2 linked regions of the Elephas maximus indicus genome follow. The protein of the gene in region 2 interacts with the protein of the main gene of each other region in a pairwise test. Links are inferred from orthologs where the notes say so. Each region holds a gene or a part of one and is shown on either strand. Other genes may lie near its edges.

Evidence for each region.
Region 1: the proteins of CBY2 (region 2) and CKS1B interact in binary tests that used the Homo sapiens proteins (3 or more experiments, as listed by UniProt). The two-hybrid records come from large-scale screens. The link is inferred for Elephas maximus indicus from reciprocal best matches to the Homo sapiens genes CBY2 and CKS1B.

Annotation. Positions count from the first base shown.
Region 1 is NC_064821.1:192,881,122-192,887,986, reverse strand, and holds the start of CKS1B (cyclin-dependent kinases regulatory subunit 1), read right to left. Parts: upstream 3,007-6,865; 5' UTR 2,932-3,006; coding exon 2,873-2,931; intron 674-2,872; coding exon 546-673; intron 1-545. Other genes in the region: SHC1 (SHC-transforming protein 1), read left to right, coding at 6,696-6,865.
Region 2 is NC_064832.1:34,356,276-34,363,988, forward strand, and holds the start of CBY2 (protein chibby homolog 2), read right to left. Parts: upstream 3,010-7,713; coding exon 2,935-3,009; intron 2,632-2,934; coding exon 2,551-2,631; intron 1-2,550.

The DNA.
Region 1 (6,865 bases), on a different chromosome or scaffold from region 2:
CCCAGCCCATCCCACTCCAACCTCCGAGCTATCACCCACTCAGATCTTTATAACTAATTTAAGATTTAAGCATATGGCCTCAGAAGCAGACCCAGAAGTCTGGCCTGTCTGCCAACTACAGAATTGTTAATATCAGTTCGTTTACTATGTTTGTACAGCCCTGGAGTGTCCTTTATTAGTTTTGCCTGGCAGCCGGGTGTCTGGTGTCTTATCACGAAATATACTTTCCTTGGCTTATCTGGAACACATCCAAGAACTGGCTTTCTGATGGAGAATGAAGCAGGGGCTACAACCTCTACCAGGATATATCAGGCCTTAAAAAGAGTACTCTCTGGCTGAGTTAAAGATTAAAGGGGGCTTTCAGTGACAGGCTGGCTCTAAACTCCCCAGATACTTTAATTTTTATTTTTGGTCACTCCAGTTTTTCTAGATGGCTGGTGGGAAAAAGGTCAGTAAATCGTCCCTCCCCCCACTTCTTTGGGTTGTGGAATCTTACTCCCTCCATGTAGCAGTCTTGTATGGTTGCTTTCAGCCACACCACTAACCTGGTTCATGGATCATATAATGGACCCATCCCTGACTCTGCTGAACACCAAGATTCCTCCATTCAGATTCAGACATCAAATGGGTTTTAGGGACCAGCTTGGCTATATCCTTGGGCAACATGACATGCCTGTAACAGAAACAAGGGGAGAAAGGGAATTTGTCAGTACTGGGTACAGTCTGTTAAATAAAATAGCATACAAAGCCAAGAGAGTAAAGAAAAGAGAAACTAGTTTTTCACGTCAGGGAGTTTATACAATCTTATTGTGGGGTTAAACGCATTACTGTCAAGTGGATTCTGACTCTTAGCAACCCTATAGAACAGAGTAGAACTGCCCCATTGGGTTTCCAAGGAGCAACTGGTGGATTCGAACTGCCGACCTTTTGTTTAGCAGCCAAGCTCTTAACCACTGTGCCACCAGGGCTTATACTGTGGGCTAGAGACAGCTATAAATACAGACCAAGTTATGTAAATCCTCACAAAAGTACACTAAAAAGTACAAATTAATGAATAATTCAAATGAGCGAGCACTCTTGAGACATTGTCAGGGAGCTTATAATCGTCTAGCTGTTAACTGAGTTCTGAAAGGATTGGCAAGAAAGTGAAGTCATTTTGTGGAAAGGCCTACATGGACTGCTGGGTGGAAGGGCCACTGAAAGGATGAAAAGGACATGTCTTAATTCTTGAAAATCTAGCCCAAATCTCATTTTCCTAACTCTGAAGGGATGTGTCATGACACTTCTTTTGGGAAACTTCACACCTTCCTAAGCAAGGATAAGTCTCTCTTCATTGCAAAAAATTACTCTGATTCTGAATTGGGCTAACCTGGACAGACTTCATGCTCAATGCAAATGTACTAAATGCTCCCTCTCAGTTATTAACAGGTTTTCTCCAGACATAGTTCTAGCCTAAAGGTCTGAAAATAGCTTACATTCTAACAAGCTCTGGGCACAACGTTTGGCTTCAGTGCATAATGAAACAAACGACAAATAGATAACCTCTTAAACCAAAACACCACTGCCGAGCTCATTGTTCTCTCTTCCAGGGGATGAAACTAGTGACTCCCCCCTAACTCTGCCAAGATGTTATAAGCATACAGTTTTAGTTCGTTTAGTTCAGATGTAGAGGAAAACAGCTGAGGAAAAGAAAGTTAATTGAGTCCAAGAAGGGCCTGGGTCTTTTCCCAAGGACCTGGCATGGAGATGTGTCTTTTTTATCTACGAACACACTCCAGAGCACCCTGTGGCCTTCACTAGGCTGGGTGTAGAGACAAGAAAAGCAAGTTTCCATTTTATGTTCTACAATTGCGGAGACAAGACGCAAACTAGGAAGTTGTCTTAAGTATTACAATTAATAAAGATTAGGAGAATGTCAAGTTGTAGAATCCTCTACTTTCCCTCATTTTCCAATCTAGAATTATGGACTTAGAATTTATCCAATGCAAACTCTGCATCCAACTCAGGGATTCCTTTTTCACCACCCTTGGTAGATGGCTATCCAGTTATCTTTTAAAACAATTTTGGTCAGAGCTGTTTTCTCCATCCTTCCTTGAACCTCATCTCAGGCAGTTTCCTCCAAGAAGCTCTCTCAGATCTTTCCCCTTAGCAGGTTTAATGTGCTCCCATCACACCCTGTAACATCTCCACCATAGCATTTATCACCTTTCTGGAGTCTGTTAGTATCTTTAAGACTTTTCGTTGAAAGCTGAGACCATGTCTTATTCTTGCACCTTGGCAGAACACCTGAAAACTATAAGCCCTCCATAATTGATTCATGAATAGATGCCCTTCAAATATTTGAAGCCATCTATCAGATCCATCGTAAGTTTTTTCTCAGTGTTCCTGGCCAGTTTTTTTCCCACTCCTGTTCCTAGCAGCGCCCTTCCTAAAATAAGCCGGACAGCCACGCCCGCAGCACTCGGTCTCTCCTCGCACGGAGGACACGAGGAAAATTCCAGCTTTGCCTTTGCCACCTTCTCCCGGTAGGCTCTAGGGTCCTATGGTATTCTTATGATAGTAATCGCAAGGCAAGTTCAACTTGCCAGCAGCTGCGAGAAAGATTCAGAAATCCGCACGGGTGAAGGCAGTCAGCACTCTAACCACGCCCATCTATGCTCAACAGAGGGCTTATTCCAAATTTTCAACCAATTTGTCTTTTTCAGAGAGCGTCCCACCCCTCGCGCATGCTCTCTACGCCTCACCCGGCTCAAACCCACCCCGTACATCTCTCGCGCATGCGCCAATTCTGTCGCCTCAGTCCTCATTACTAACTCGTGCCCTCACTTGACAAGGTTCACAACTTCGTTAAGGCCCCCGCGCCGGCACTAACCGGTACTCGAACTCCTCGTCATCGTATTTGTCCGAGTAGTAGATTTGTTTGTGCGACATAATCGCTCAGCCTGAGGGACTTCAGACCCGCGCCGCCAACCTCCAAACAACTCCCAGCAGCACGCGCTCCCACCCCCTTTGGCCTCGCTTTCAAACACACCGCCCACACTTCTTATTGGTCCCTTTTGTTCAAGGCGGGACAGCTCCACCTTCAAGCCTCCGATTGGCTTAAATTTACTACTACTAGGGTCCTTATTGGAGGGTAGGTCCTACGTTTCTCAAGAACGAGTTTGGGTCAAAAATAGGCCTCTTATTGGCTACCACTGCTCCTGTGCGCGTTCTCGCGCTACCATTGGCTGACTCGAGAAAGTGGGACGGGTGAAGGAGGGACGGTGAGGTAGAGGGTCAGGGGTTAGTGAGACCGGAAGTGAGAGCAATAAAGTTTCTCCAGGGAGGCCGGGTCCGGGGAGAAAGTTGGAGAGGGAACCTAAGGAGGCAGTGGCGTAATCCGGAACCAAACAGGCCCGCGGTGCGGTGCGGAGACTCCATGCAGCCCTGGTGAGTCTTGACGTTTTTTCTGTTTAGGTGATCCACATCTCCACCCCGGAACCCCTCTCCCGGGACCCCACTTCCGGTCTTCATTGTTAAGTCCCGCCCCTTGCGACCCCCTCCGCGGAAGTTCCACCTCCCAGCTCCAGGGGGCTCCCTGAACCGTGATTTTTTTTTTTATTTATTGTTCCTGACGCTACCCAGTCGTCCATCTTTCCTGGAAGTCCCACCCCTAGACATGCTTCCAAACCCTACTACGAGAAACCCTTCGTTAATGCTTCCAAGTCGCCGAAGCTCCGCCTTCTTGCGACGGTTTTCCGCTAACTCCTGTCTGTCAAGAAGCCTGTCCCCCAAAAGGGCCAAGCCAACCCTCGCGCTTCAAAGAACTATTCGAGAATCCGTTGAAGCCACGCCTCTGTAGAAGCCCCGCCCCTCTAGAAGCCCCGCCCTTTCCTTAATCTAAGTCTGATCGTCCAGAAGCCTCTCCTCATAGAAATTTCCCTTGCTCGCGTCCTAGGGGCCACGCCCCCGCTGGGGCTTTATCCTTGTCATCACCTCTGAAGTTTTGTCTTCAATTCTAGAAGTCTCACGTGCTTACACTTCCCGGTCCGTCTTTCAGGTCCTTGGACTCAGTTCTCCTGCGCTCTCATGCTCCACCGGGTGGGAAGTCACAGTTCCCATCTCTGGCCCTGAAAAGTGGGAGAATAGAGGCACCGTTTTCCTTTCCCTTACCCCCCTTCCTAGAGTGGACCGGCTTGAAGTGGGCTGGACTTGGGGTTTGGCACGAGACTGGTAGAGAGACTTGCTCATAGATTCCCAGCCCTATTCCCTCCATTGCCAGCCCACTTCCCAGGACCGAGTCCACCCCAGAAACAGCTGCAAGTCGTACCTGTACCGCAGGAGTTGGGTAGGGCCGTGGATTCGTTAGTGTGTGGCATGTGCTTGTGACAGGAGCCAAAATTTTCTATCACCAGACAGAACGGTGGTTTGGAGCAGGGATGGGGAGCAGTGTCCTATTTTGCGGTTTGATTTTTTTCTAAGGGACTCCTCAGTCTTCCCTTCCCCCAAACCAGAGTTCTTGCCTGGGCATTCCTCCTGGCTCCGCTTGCCCAGCCTTCCCTACTGGAAACATTCCTGAGGCTTTCGCCATTTCCTGCTACTTCCCGCTCCTCTTGCCTCCTCCCTGCTGGGCTGAGAAGCCAGGCACAGCTCCTTCCCCACACCCAATCACCGGGACTCCCAGTAGGCAATCTCCTTTCTCCCTATGCAAATTTAGAGTTAAACTTCCTCTTTCTTTTCTTCCAACTGCCCATACCTGTTGGTCACTCCCTGCCTCTGGATACTGCAGACTCCACAGAACGGCCATCTCTAAAGATTAGGGTTAAGTGCTATGGCTGCTAACCAAAAGGTCAGCAGTTAGAATCCACCAGGCGCTCCCTGGAAGCTCTATGGGGCAGTTCTGCTCTGTCCTATAGGGTTGCTATGAGTTGGAATTGACTCGACGGCAACGGGTTTGGTGTGTGTTTGTGTTTTGGGGGGGTGTGAGGCTGTGGCAGAATCCTTTCCTCATTCTCCGTTTGCCTGAGAGCTGAGGCCTTAGGAAATGAAGTGATAGAATTCCTTTTCAGGAGTGGTGGATGGAGTGATGAGCTCTTCTGGGATGAAGACTAAGGGGAGGTGAAAGCGTTTAGCACAATATATAACACGTTTTAAGTGCTGGTACTGTTATCACTGTAATCATACGATTATTCCCTTCTTTTTATTCTCTGAAGTAAATTGAAAAAAAAATAGGGTAATTCTGAGGTGATCCTGGGGGTATGTGTATCTTTTTGTTTTTGGCCACTTTCTAACTTCCTCTGTGATCCCCTCAAGCACAGCTGTGACAGGAAGCTGTGGGTGGAAGGGATGGGCTCGGGATTGTTCCCTGTGTCCGGCCTCAGCCCATCTTCTCCTGGCATCCCTTTCTCCTGTATTTATTAACATAGATCTGTCTTCTGTTCTCTCTATCCCTTTGTAGCTTGGAGGCCCCACTTCTCTTGGAGAGCTGCCACACTCTCCCACCTCCCCCAGCCAGACTCCTTCCCTGGTGTTAGGGACACTGTGCTCCATGGTGGACACCTGGGCATTCCCAGTCACCACTGCAAGAGGAAGAGTATGAGTATACCTGGCAGGACTGGGGAGTTGACTTTAGAGTTAGTACCCAGGCCATCCGCTTCTCAGCTTTGACAGCTTGCTTTGCTAACTTGTGCCTGTGGAAAAGCAGCCAGAACAGTGCCTGGCTGTGGGCTGCTGCTCTTTGCCATGGTGGGTGCCTTGCATAGGGAAGAAGCCGCAGCCAACCTGTCCTCTTGCTCCAGCTCTTGCCTTGTGGCTCCCTGATGCACCACCGAGGTTGGACTTCCTCCTTACTTTACCAGCTTCGCCCTTCGTCTTGGCCCCTCTCTACATCCACTGGGACCACTTCCTTCCCTTCCCCATCTCCCTACCTCCAGTCCACAGCTGTTGTGGCAGAGGATGCTAATGGCTCCGGCTCCCTAGGTCCACAGCCCCACTGTGTGTTAGTGAAGGGCGAGGTGGCCTGGGCTGGAAGATGGGGAAATTTGAGTGTTCGACCAGGACAGGAAAGAAAGTGCTGAGCTCAGGGATCCCCTCCCTTTTCCACCCCCAGCTGTCTCTGTTTCCTCCCTCATTGCTCCCCACCCCCCCCCCCGCCCACCTCTCCCTTTCCTGGTTTCCTGCTTCCCCCCTGGCCTGCCCATGTCCGGTTTGGACTGATCCAGACCTCCTCTTATCTCCCTCCTTTCCTTCCCTCTATCCTTCCCTTCAACGCCCACCTTACTCCTCCCCAGATAGCTGGTTGGTTGTTTGGAGGTGGGGGAAGAGGGACGTCGCTGTCCCTAACCCAGCAAGGGTTCTAGGTTGGGTTGGCAGTGGGGGATCAGCCCCTCAGAGCCTGTGAGTCAGCACTGTCCTTGGGATTGGTCTCTCCCCTCAGCTCTCCGCCCCTGAGGAGGAGCTAGGCAGCTCTGGGTCCAGCCTGTTCTCCTCTCGCCAGAGAAGAGGCTCCATGCTGGGCGGAGATGGGCCCTGAAACTGTTTGGGGCTGAGCTGGGGGAGCTGAAGCTACCTGTCTCTCTCCCTCCTCAGGACTCCTGAGACCCCTGGGCTATAGAGTTCCGACCAGGCTAAGGGCCTGGGGATGCCTCCTGCCTGGCCCCCTTGCCCTGACTGGCAGGGGGGCCGGGCTGGGCAGCAGCACCCCTCTCACCCCAGCCATGGATCTCCTTCCCCCCAAGCCCAAGTACAACCCACTTCGGAATGAGTCTCTGTCATCGCTGGAGGAGGGGGCTTCAGGGTCCACGCCCCCGGAGGAGCTGCCTTCCCCATCAGCCTCATCCTTAGGGCCCATCCTGCCACCTCTGCCTGGGGACGACAGTCCCACTAC
Region 2 (7,713 bases):
TGCATCCCACTTTGAAATGTGGCGTCTGGGGTCTTAAATGCTAACAAGCGGCCATCTAAGATGCATCAATTGGTCTCAACCCACCTGGAGCAAAGGAGAATGAAGAACACCAAGGTCACACGACAACTAAGAGCCCAAGAGACAGAACGGGCCACATGAACCAGAGACCTACATTATCCTGAGACCAGAAGTACTAGTTGGTGCCCGGCCACAATCGATGACTGCCCTCACAGGGAGCACAATAGAGAACCCCTGAGGGAGCAGGAGATCAGTGGGATGCAGACCCCAAATTCTCATAAAAAGACCATACTTAATGGTCTGGATGTGACTAGAGGAATCCCGGTGGTCATGGTCCCCAAACCTTCTGTTGGCAAAGGACGGGAACCATCCCCGAAGACAATTCATCAGACATGAAAGGAACTGGACAGTGGGTGGGAGAGAGATGCTGATGAAGAGTGAGCTAATTATATCAGGTGGACACTTGAGACTGTGTTGGCATCTCCTGTCTGGAGTGGGGATGGGAGGACAGAGAGAGTTGGAGGCTGGCAAAGTTTTCACGAAAGGAGAGACTGGAAGGGCTGACTCATTAGGGGGAGAGCAAGTGGGAGTAAGGAGTAAGATGTATATTAACCTATATGTGACAGACTGACTTGATTTGTAAACGTTCACTTGAAGCTCAATAAAAGTTAATAAAAAAAAAAATATATCCAGAATGTTTTCTTGTCCTGTATTTTTCCCTCTTGCTGAACATATTGCCTAGATTGTAAAAATTACCTCCACCATGTACAAACAACAACAACTTATAAAGAATGGAGGTGGTCCCTGGGTGGTGCAAATCGTTTACACTCAACTACTAACCCAAAGGTTGGCAGTTTGAACCCACCCAGAGGCATCACAGAAGAAAGGCCTGGAGATCTACTTCCGTAAAGATAACAGCCAACAAAATCCTGTGGACCTCAGCTCTACGCTGTAATGTGATGGCAATGAGATTGGTTCTTTGGTTTATAGGAAGAATGGGAGTCCCAGAGTGCTCCAAACAAGTAATAAGCTCAACTACTCACCAAAACGTCGGCAGTTCAAGTCTACCCAGAGCCACCTTGGAAGAAAGACCTGGCAATCTAATTCCCAAAAATCAGCCACTGAAAACTTTATCGAGCACAGTTCTATTCTGACACACATAGGGTCACCATGAGTCAGAGTCGACCCCAAAGAATGCTAAAGGTTTTCTTTCTAATCATGTACTTCTCCTGAAAATTCTTAAGAAAAAACTTTAGGAAAATAAAAATAATATGGAATGCCCACTGGCAATCGAGCCTCCTCGTACACATCCCTGGACAGAGCTTTCAGATCGTTACCTCTGCATTTGACTCCTCCACCCTACATTTCAGCCCCTCTGGCTGCCCGTCCATAGTCTTCAAACAGGGCCTTAAGTGACTCTGGAGAAGTAAGTCTGACCCTTTGTGACATAGCAGCAGTAGGAATCCAATCAGGACCCCACCAAGGAAACAGCAGGAGGAAATCTGGGTATTCCAAGCCTGTCAGGACTTTACCAATTCATTGACCTCTGCCTGAATCCCTATCATAAAAGCATGCCAGTCTCCCCTAAGCCCTCTGTCTTTGGTACATAAAAACCAGTTGCCATTGAGTTGGTTCCAACTCATGCAGACCCTACGTGTGTCAGAGTAGAAACATGCTCCGTGGTGTTTCCAATGGCTGATTTTTTGGAAGTAGATTGCCAGACTTTTCTTCTAAGGTGCCTCTGTATGCATTAGAACGTTCAACTTTGCAGTTAACAGCCGAGCACTTAACCATTTTCACCACCCAGGGACTCCTCTTTGATACATTGGTGTTGCTATGTGCTGTCAAATCAACTGATTGATAGTGACCCTCTAGGACACGGTAGAACAGCCCCATCTGGTTCACTAGGCTGTAATCTTTACAGGAGCAGATACCAGATCTTTTCTTCTGTGGAACTGCTGGTGGGTTTAGACCACTGACCTTCCTGTTAGCAGCCGAGCACTTAACCATCGTACCACCAGAGCTCCTTCTTTGATACATAAAAAGAAGTAAAAATTTTTTATTATTTTTTTTACTTCTTTGGGCTTAATTCTCTTGACACCTCCAAATAGTCTTGTATCCCTTGGTCTGTATACTAGGCCTTCTAATGGATTTGCTTGCATACTTTTGATTGCAAGACCTAGTCCTATTTCTGCCCCCAGAAATCCAGACTGGTTGCACAACGGCTAGTGCCAAAAGATCTCATTTTGAGAAGGTCAGGTTTTTTCAGAGAATTGTAGAGACTTGATATGTTAGAACTGGAAAGTCTTAGGGAATGATCTAGCCCAACCCCTTCAAGTGAGGGAAGAGAAATCCAAGTCCCAGAGTAGCAAAGTTGCCTCTCCCAGACATATAGCTGGTCGGCAACCAACCCGGAACTGGAATCTGAGGCCCTGCCTCCTCTACTTGTTCCGAGACGTCATGCTAGAGTTTGGAAAGAGGAGGATTAGTCTGACTAATGTGGCGGTTACACCCTTCTGTCATAATCCCTACCTGAAGTAGAACCACACTGATTGGAATTTCTACGTTTTCAGATCTGGTATCTCTGTTCCTTGTAAAATTTGGCCAGGAATTCTGTGGAAAAGAGAAAATAAGATTTCTGCTTCCCAGCTCATTCTCTGGGCCTCAGTTGGGCACTGGAAAAACAACACTTCGTACTTCTTTATTCCCCTCTGGGCCATCATGGACATTATGAAAACCCAAGTCTAAAAGAATGTGTGGATGATATCTGGTAAGATGTTCATCAGTCTCTGAACAGAAATTAAGACAGATGTTTTAGCTGATGTGAAAGCCTTCTGGGTGTCTTTGAAGCAGAGACAGTCATACCTACATCCTTGTCTAAGATTATTATTTCTATCTCAAGTAAAAAAGGCATACCAGTGTGAGGTGCCAGGTATAGGTCTGCTGCAGAAGTTGGTCATCCAAACACTCAGAACATTCCAGAGGTGACATCACAAAACCATATGGTGTTCTTCAGGGCTCATGGTTTCTCTCTGAGCATTGCAGGAGGTAATAAGGCATCAGAAGGCCAGGAAGAGCTTGCCCCTGGCTGTGTCCACATACCTGGCCAGGTCAGTGTGACACACAATAGCCCAAACAGCAGCCCCTGTTTGGTCATCCCAGCTGCCATTCACATCCCCACTGCAAGGCTGGGCTGAGACTGCTTCCCTCTCTCTAGACATGGCATCTTCTGCTTGGAGTTGGACCACTGAAGAAGGAAGGAACCCAAACTGAACTCTGCCCAGGCCAAAGGAGGAAATGTAGAAACTGCATCAAGATCACAAGGCTGACATCTGAGCTTTGTGAGGGGAGCAGCCCAGCCCCTCTCGACAAAATTTTCCAATTCGCCTTCACCTTTTTGTGCCTCTGTGCCTAAGACATGTCTCTTGTAGACAGCATATGTTGTTCTTGTTGTTATTAGGTACTGCCGAGTCAGTTCTGACTCACAACAGCCCTATGTACAACAGAATGAAACACTGCCCCGTCCTGCGCCATCCTCACAATTCTTATGCTTGAGCCCATTTTTGCAGCCACTGTGTCTTCCTCTTTTTCGCTGACCCTCTACTTTACTACACATGATGTCCTTCTCCAGGGACTGGTCCCCTCCCAATAACATGTCTAAAGTATGTGAGGTGAAGTCTTGCTATTCTCGCTTCTAAGGAGCATTGTGGCTGTACTTCTTCCAAGACAGATTTGTTCATTCTTTTGGCAGTCCATGGTATATTCAATATTCTTTGCCAACACCGTATAGATGAGTCTTTTTTTTTTTAACCCAATCTGCCACTCTCAGCCTCTTGACTCACGTGTTTAATCCATTTACATTCACAGTAATTATAGATAAAGGAGGACTTAACTTCTGCCATTTTGTTACTAGTTTTCTGTGTGATTTAGCCCATTTTTGTTCCCCTTTCCCTCCAGTGCTGACTTATTTTGTATATAGATTTTTGGTGTGTATGTGCTGAGCCATTTATTGACTCAGAAGCAATGGGTTTGGGTTTGGTTTTATTCTGTATATAATTTTTTATTTACTTTCTCTGTGGTTACCATGAGAATTTGGTCTTAATTCTATCAGAGGCTGCTCATGGGGACATTCGTTCTGGTTATTGATGTAACTTAAGCCTCTGATTAACCAGAGAGCCCCAATTCCCTATTAGTATGCCATATGCAGGGAAGAAAATGGCGGGCCAGGGTCAGCAGGTCCAGGGACACCTTAGCTGCCATTCAGAGTCTCCCACGCCCAAGTTACAAGTTACACCCTGCTTTAAGAAACCCGATGTACAAAAATTGGAAAATATAGCTACTCAAAAATCAAGAAGGCCATTAATTGCATTTTCAAAGAATTCTTCATTTTTTATAAGGGAGCTTGTCTCAGGATTCCTTTAAGTGACTAACGCCCATATTGTCTGAAAACACTACTGAGGTTTCACTTGTGCATACCTCACGGAAGCACCTGTATATCCGGTGAGTTATAGCGAGAAGACCTGCACCAAACACGGGAATGGGGACGTCGCCATGGTCTAGAGACCTGGAAGGGGCTGTGCCATCAATGGGCTGCGATGGTTGGGGCTGAGCTAAGGAGACTAATTAGAGAGAAGAAGGAAGCTAACATTACTGCACGCCCAGTAAGTTCTGGCACCGTGCAAGACGCTCTACGTATGTCATTTCACCTATGTCAGAGTCACCAGCATAGATGCACGTTCTACCACCCTGGGGATGTAGTCCCACCTTGGGCTCCTCAAGCCCAGCGTCCTGGTCCATTCCAGCAAATTCATTTGAGCCTTGTCCTCCCACAAAGAGATCTACAGTGCCAAGGAACACAAGCTCTGCTCCTACAAAGGTGCCACATGGACAAAGGCATCTGTTAGTATCCGCCGATGTGTTTTTAATTACTACTATAGGGTTGCTATGAGTCAGAATTGACTTGACGGCCCCCAACAACAACAAAAAGTGATGGCACAATTTTGACCCGTGACCCAGTCTTTTCTAAGACCCATGAGGAATACTGAAGGAAGGAAGGAAGGGGAGGAACACACTAACTATCTTGCTACGTTAGCACGTGTACTGGTTTCGTAGCACAGCCTCAACCAGTTACCACAAACTGGGCGGCTGAAAACAGCACATTTACTTTCTCACAGTTCTGGACCTTAAAAGTTCGAACTCAAGGTGTCTGCAGGGTTGGTTCCTTCTGAGGCTCTAAGGGAAAATCGATATCATGCGTCTCCTAGCTTCTAGTTGTTTTTGTGCGCCATCAAGTCAATTCAGACTCATAGCCACTCTCATAGCTACCCTATACGACAGAGTAGAACTGCCCCATAGGGATTCCTAGGCTGTAATCTTTACCTGAGCAAATCACCAGGTCTTCCTTCCTCAGAGCTGCTGGTGGATGTGAACTGCCAACCTTTTGTTTAGCAGCTGAGCACTTAACCACTGAGCCACTGTGGTGGCTGCCAGCAATCCTTGGCTGGTAGATACTTCACTGCCATCTCTGCCTTGGTCTTCATGTGACATTCTCTGTGTTTTCTCCCCTTTTCTGCCCTTGTAAAGACACTTGTCATGGGATTTACCGCCCACCCTAATCCAGAATGATTTTGAATCTTTAAATATACCTGCAAAGACTCTTTTTCCAAATAAGGTCACATTCTCGGTTCCTGGCATACTTTTTTTTGTGGGAGGAGAGGTTTGGAGAGGGGGTACCATTCAACCCACTACAGCATGAGAGGAACTTCCTTCACTGCATCCAGAGGAAGACATTGATAAAAACAAATGAGGCTGCAGGTGGAAAGGCCGTGTGCATGGGTGTCAGCAGACCAGCGTGCAAGTCTGGGGTCCAAGAAGTAGTCACTGTGTGGAGTGGACAAGTCACCCACCCTCTCAGAAGTTAAGTTTCCTTGTCCTCAAATCGGGGAAATTATACCTAACGTGAGATTAACACGGAGCCCTGGTGGCACAGTGGTTAAGATCAGGGTTGCTAACCAAAACGTGGGCAATTCAAATCCACAAGTTGATCCTTGGAAACCCTACGGAGCAGTTCTACTCGGGCCAATGGAGTTTTTTTTGTTTTTTGTTTTTTTTTTTTGAGATAACATACATAAAGGGGTTGACACCTCCTAAGCGCTCAATTAACAATCATTGTTTTGGTGCCCTCATTGTCTTGCTCCCTTTGGCTCAAAATTTTCGACAGCTGACACGTAATTACTGCAGCTGTTAAAAAGGCATGATACCAAATGTTGAAATTGCTTTTTCTTGTTATATATATTCACTACAATAGTTTTTTTTTTTTTTTTAAGTCACAATACTGCAGCTTGTATGAAGACTTGTTTGATCAATTTGCTTTTTGTTTTTAAAAGGAAGAGCATGTGGAGCTGGGCCATTCTGGTCCCCGTGTCTCCAGATGCCCATCCAAGGGGTCCCTTCCCCTCTGCAGGACACCAGCCTCCATAGCCCAGTGCTCAGGAGCTTCCTTCAGCTCGTCCCCAAAATGCCTGTTACTACTCAGATCACACCATCATCAATCATCCACGTTCCGTGAGCATCCACAATCGGTGGGCGCCGCGCAGAGCGCAGAGGAAGACATGCCTCGTGGGTTTCTAATCTAAACAGACAGGTCGAGACGAGACAAAGGAAAGGGCGGGCAGGCATCCGGGACTCTCGGGCTGGCTCCCTCGCTGCCACTGTCTGATGATGAATCACGCAGCAAAATCCAGCAAGCAGAAGGGTCCGCGAGAGAGCGTGGGGCCCCCTGCCCTGCCCCTGAGAGCCGCAGGAACTGCAGCTCTTGGTCCAGAAGCCAGAGGTGGGCATGGGCGCCATGTTCAGACCTTTCTCTCTTCATTTGTGGAAGGGGCTGGGAAGATAGGGGATAATCATGGTGCCTGTCACCTTCAAATTGCATGATGCCATAGGGGACGTTTGTTATTTTTGCTTCATAGGGCAGACGGAAAACTCAGAACTTTGGGGGATATTTCTAGTGGCTCCTGGATTCAGAAGGAAGGTTTGTAAGGATCGCACACAGATCTTGTTACGTTTAGCTGCTGTCGAGTTAGTCCCTGATTCATGGCGACCTCATGCACAAGGGAGTGAAATGCTGCCCAGTCCTGCTCCATCCCCATGATCAGTTGTGGATCGGACCATTATTATCCACAGGGTTTTCAGTGATTGGCCTTGAAAAATGGATCACCAGGCCTCTCTTCCTAGCCGTAGTCTGGAAAGAGTGCTGAAACCTGCTCAGCCTCAGAGCAACATGAAAGTGTCCACTGACAGATGGAGGAGCCCTGGTGGTTCAGTGGTTAAAGCACTCAGCTGTGGACCACAAGGTCAGCAGTTAGAACCCACCAGTCACCCTGCAGGAGAAAGCTGTGGCAGCCTGCTCCTATAAAGATTTACAGCCTTGGAAACCCTGTGGGATAGTTCTACTCTGGCCTATAGGGTCACTGTGAGTCAGAATCGACCCACGTCAATGGATAGGGCAGAGGGATAGATCTACTGTGGGACCAGAGGAGCAGCCCCAGGACAGGGAGGCCTGAGGCCAAGCCGTTGGCAGGACAGGCTAGCAGCTCTCACCTCCTAATGGAGCAAAGGCAGCAGTCAGAAGCTCAGGAGAGACTGCCGATGAGTCTATCTGGCAACAAATGAAGATCAACTACTGGAAAAGTCTGG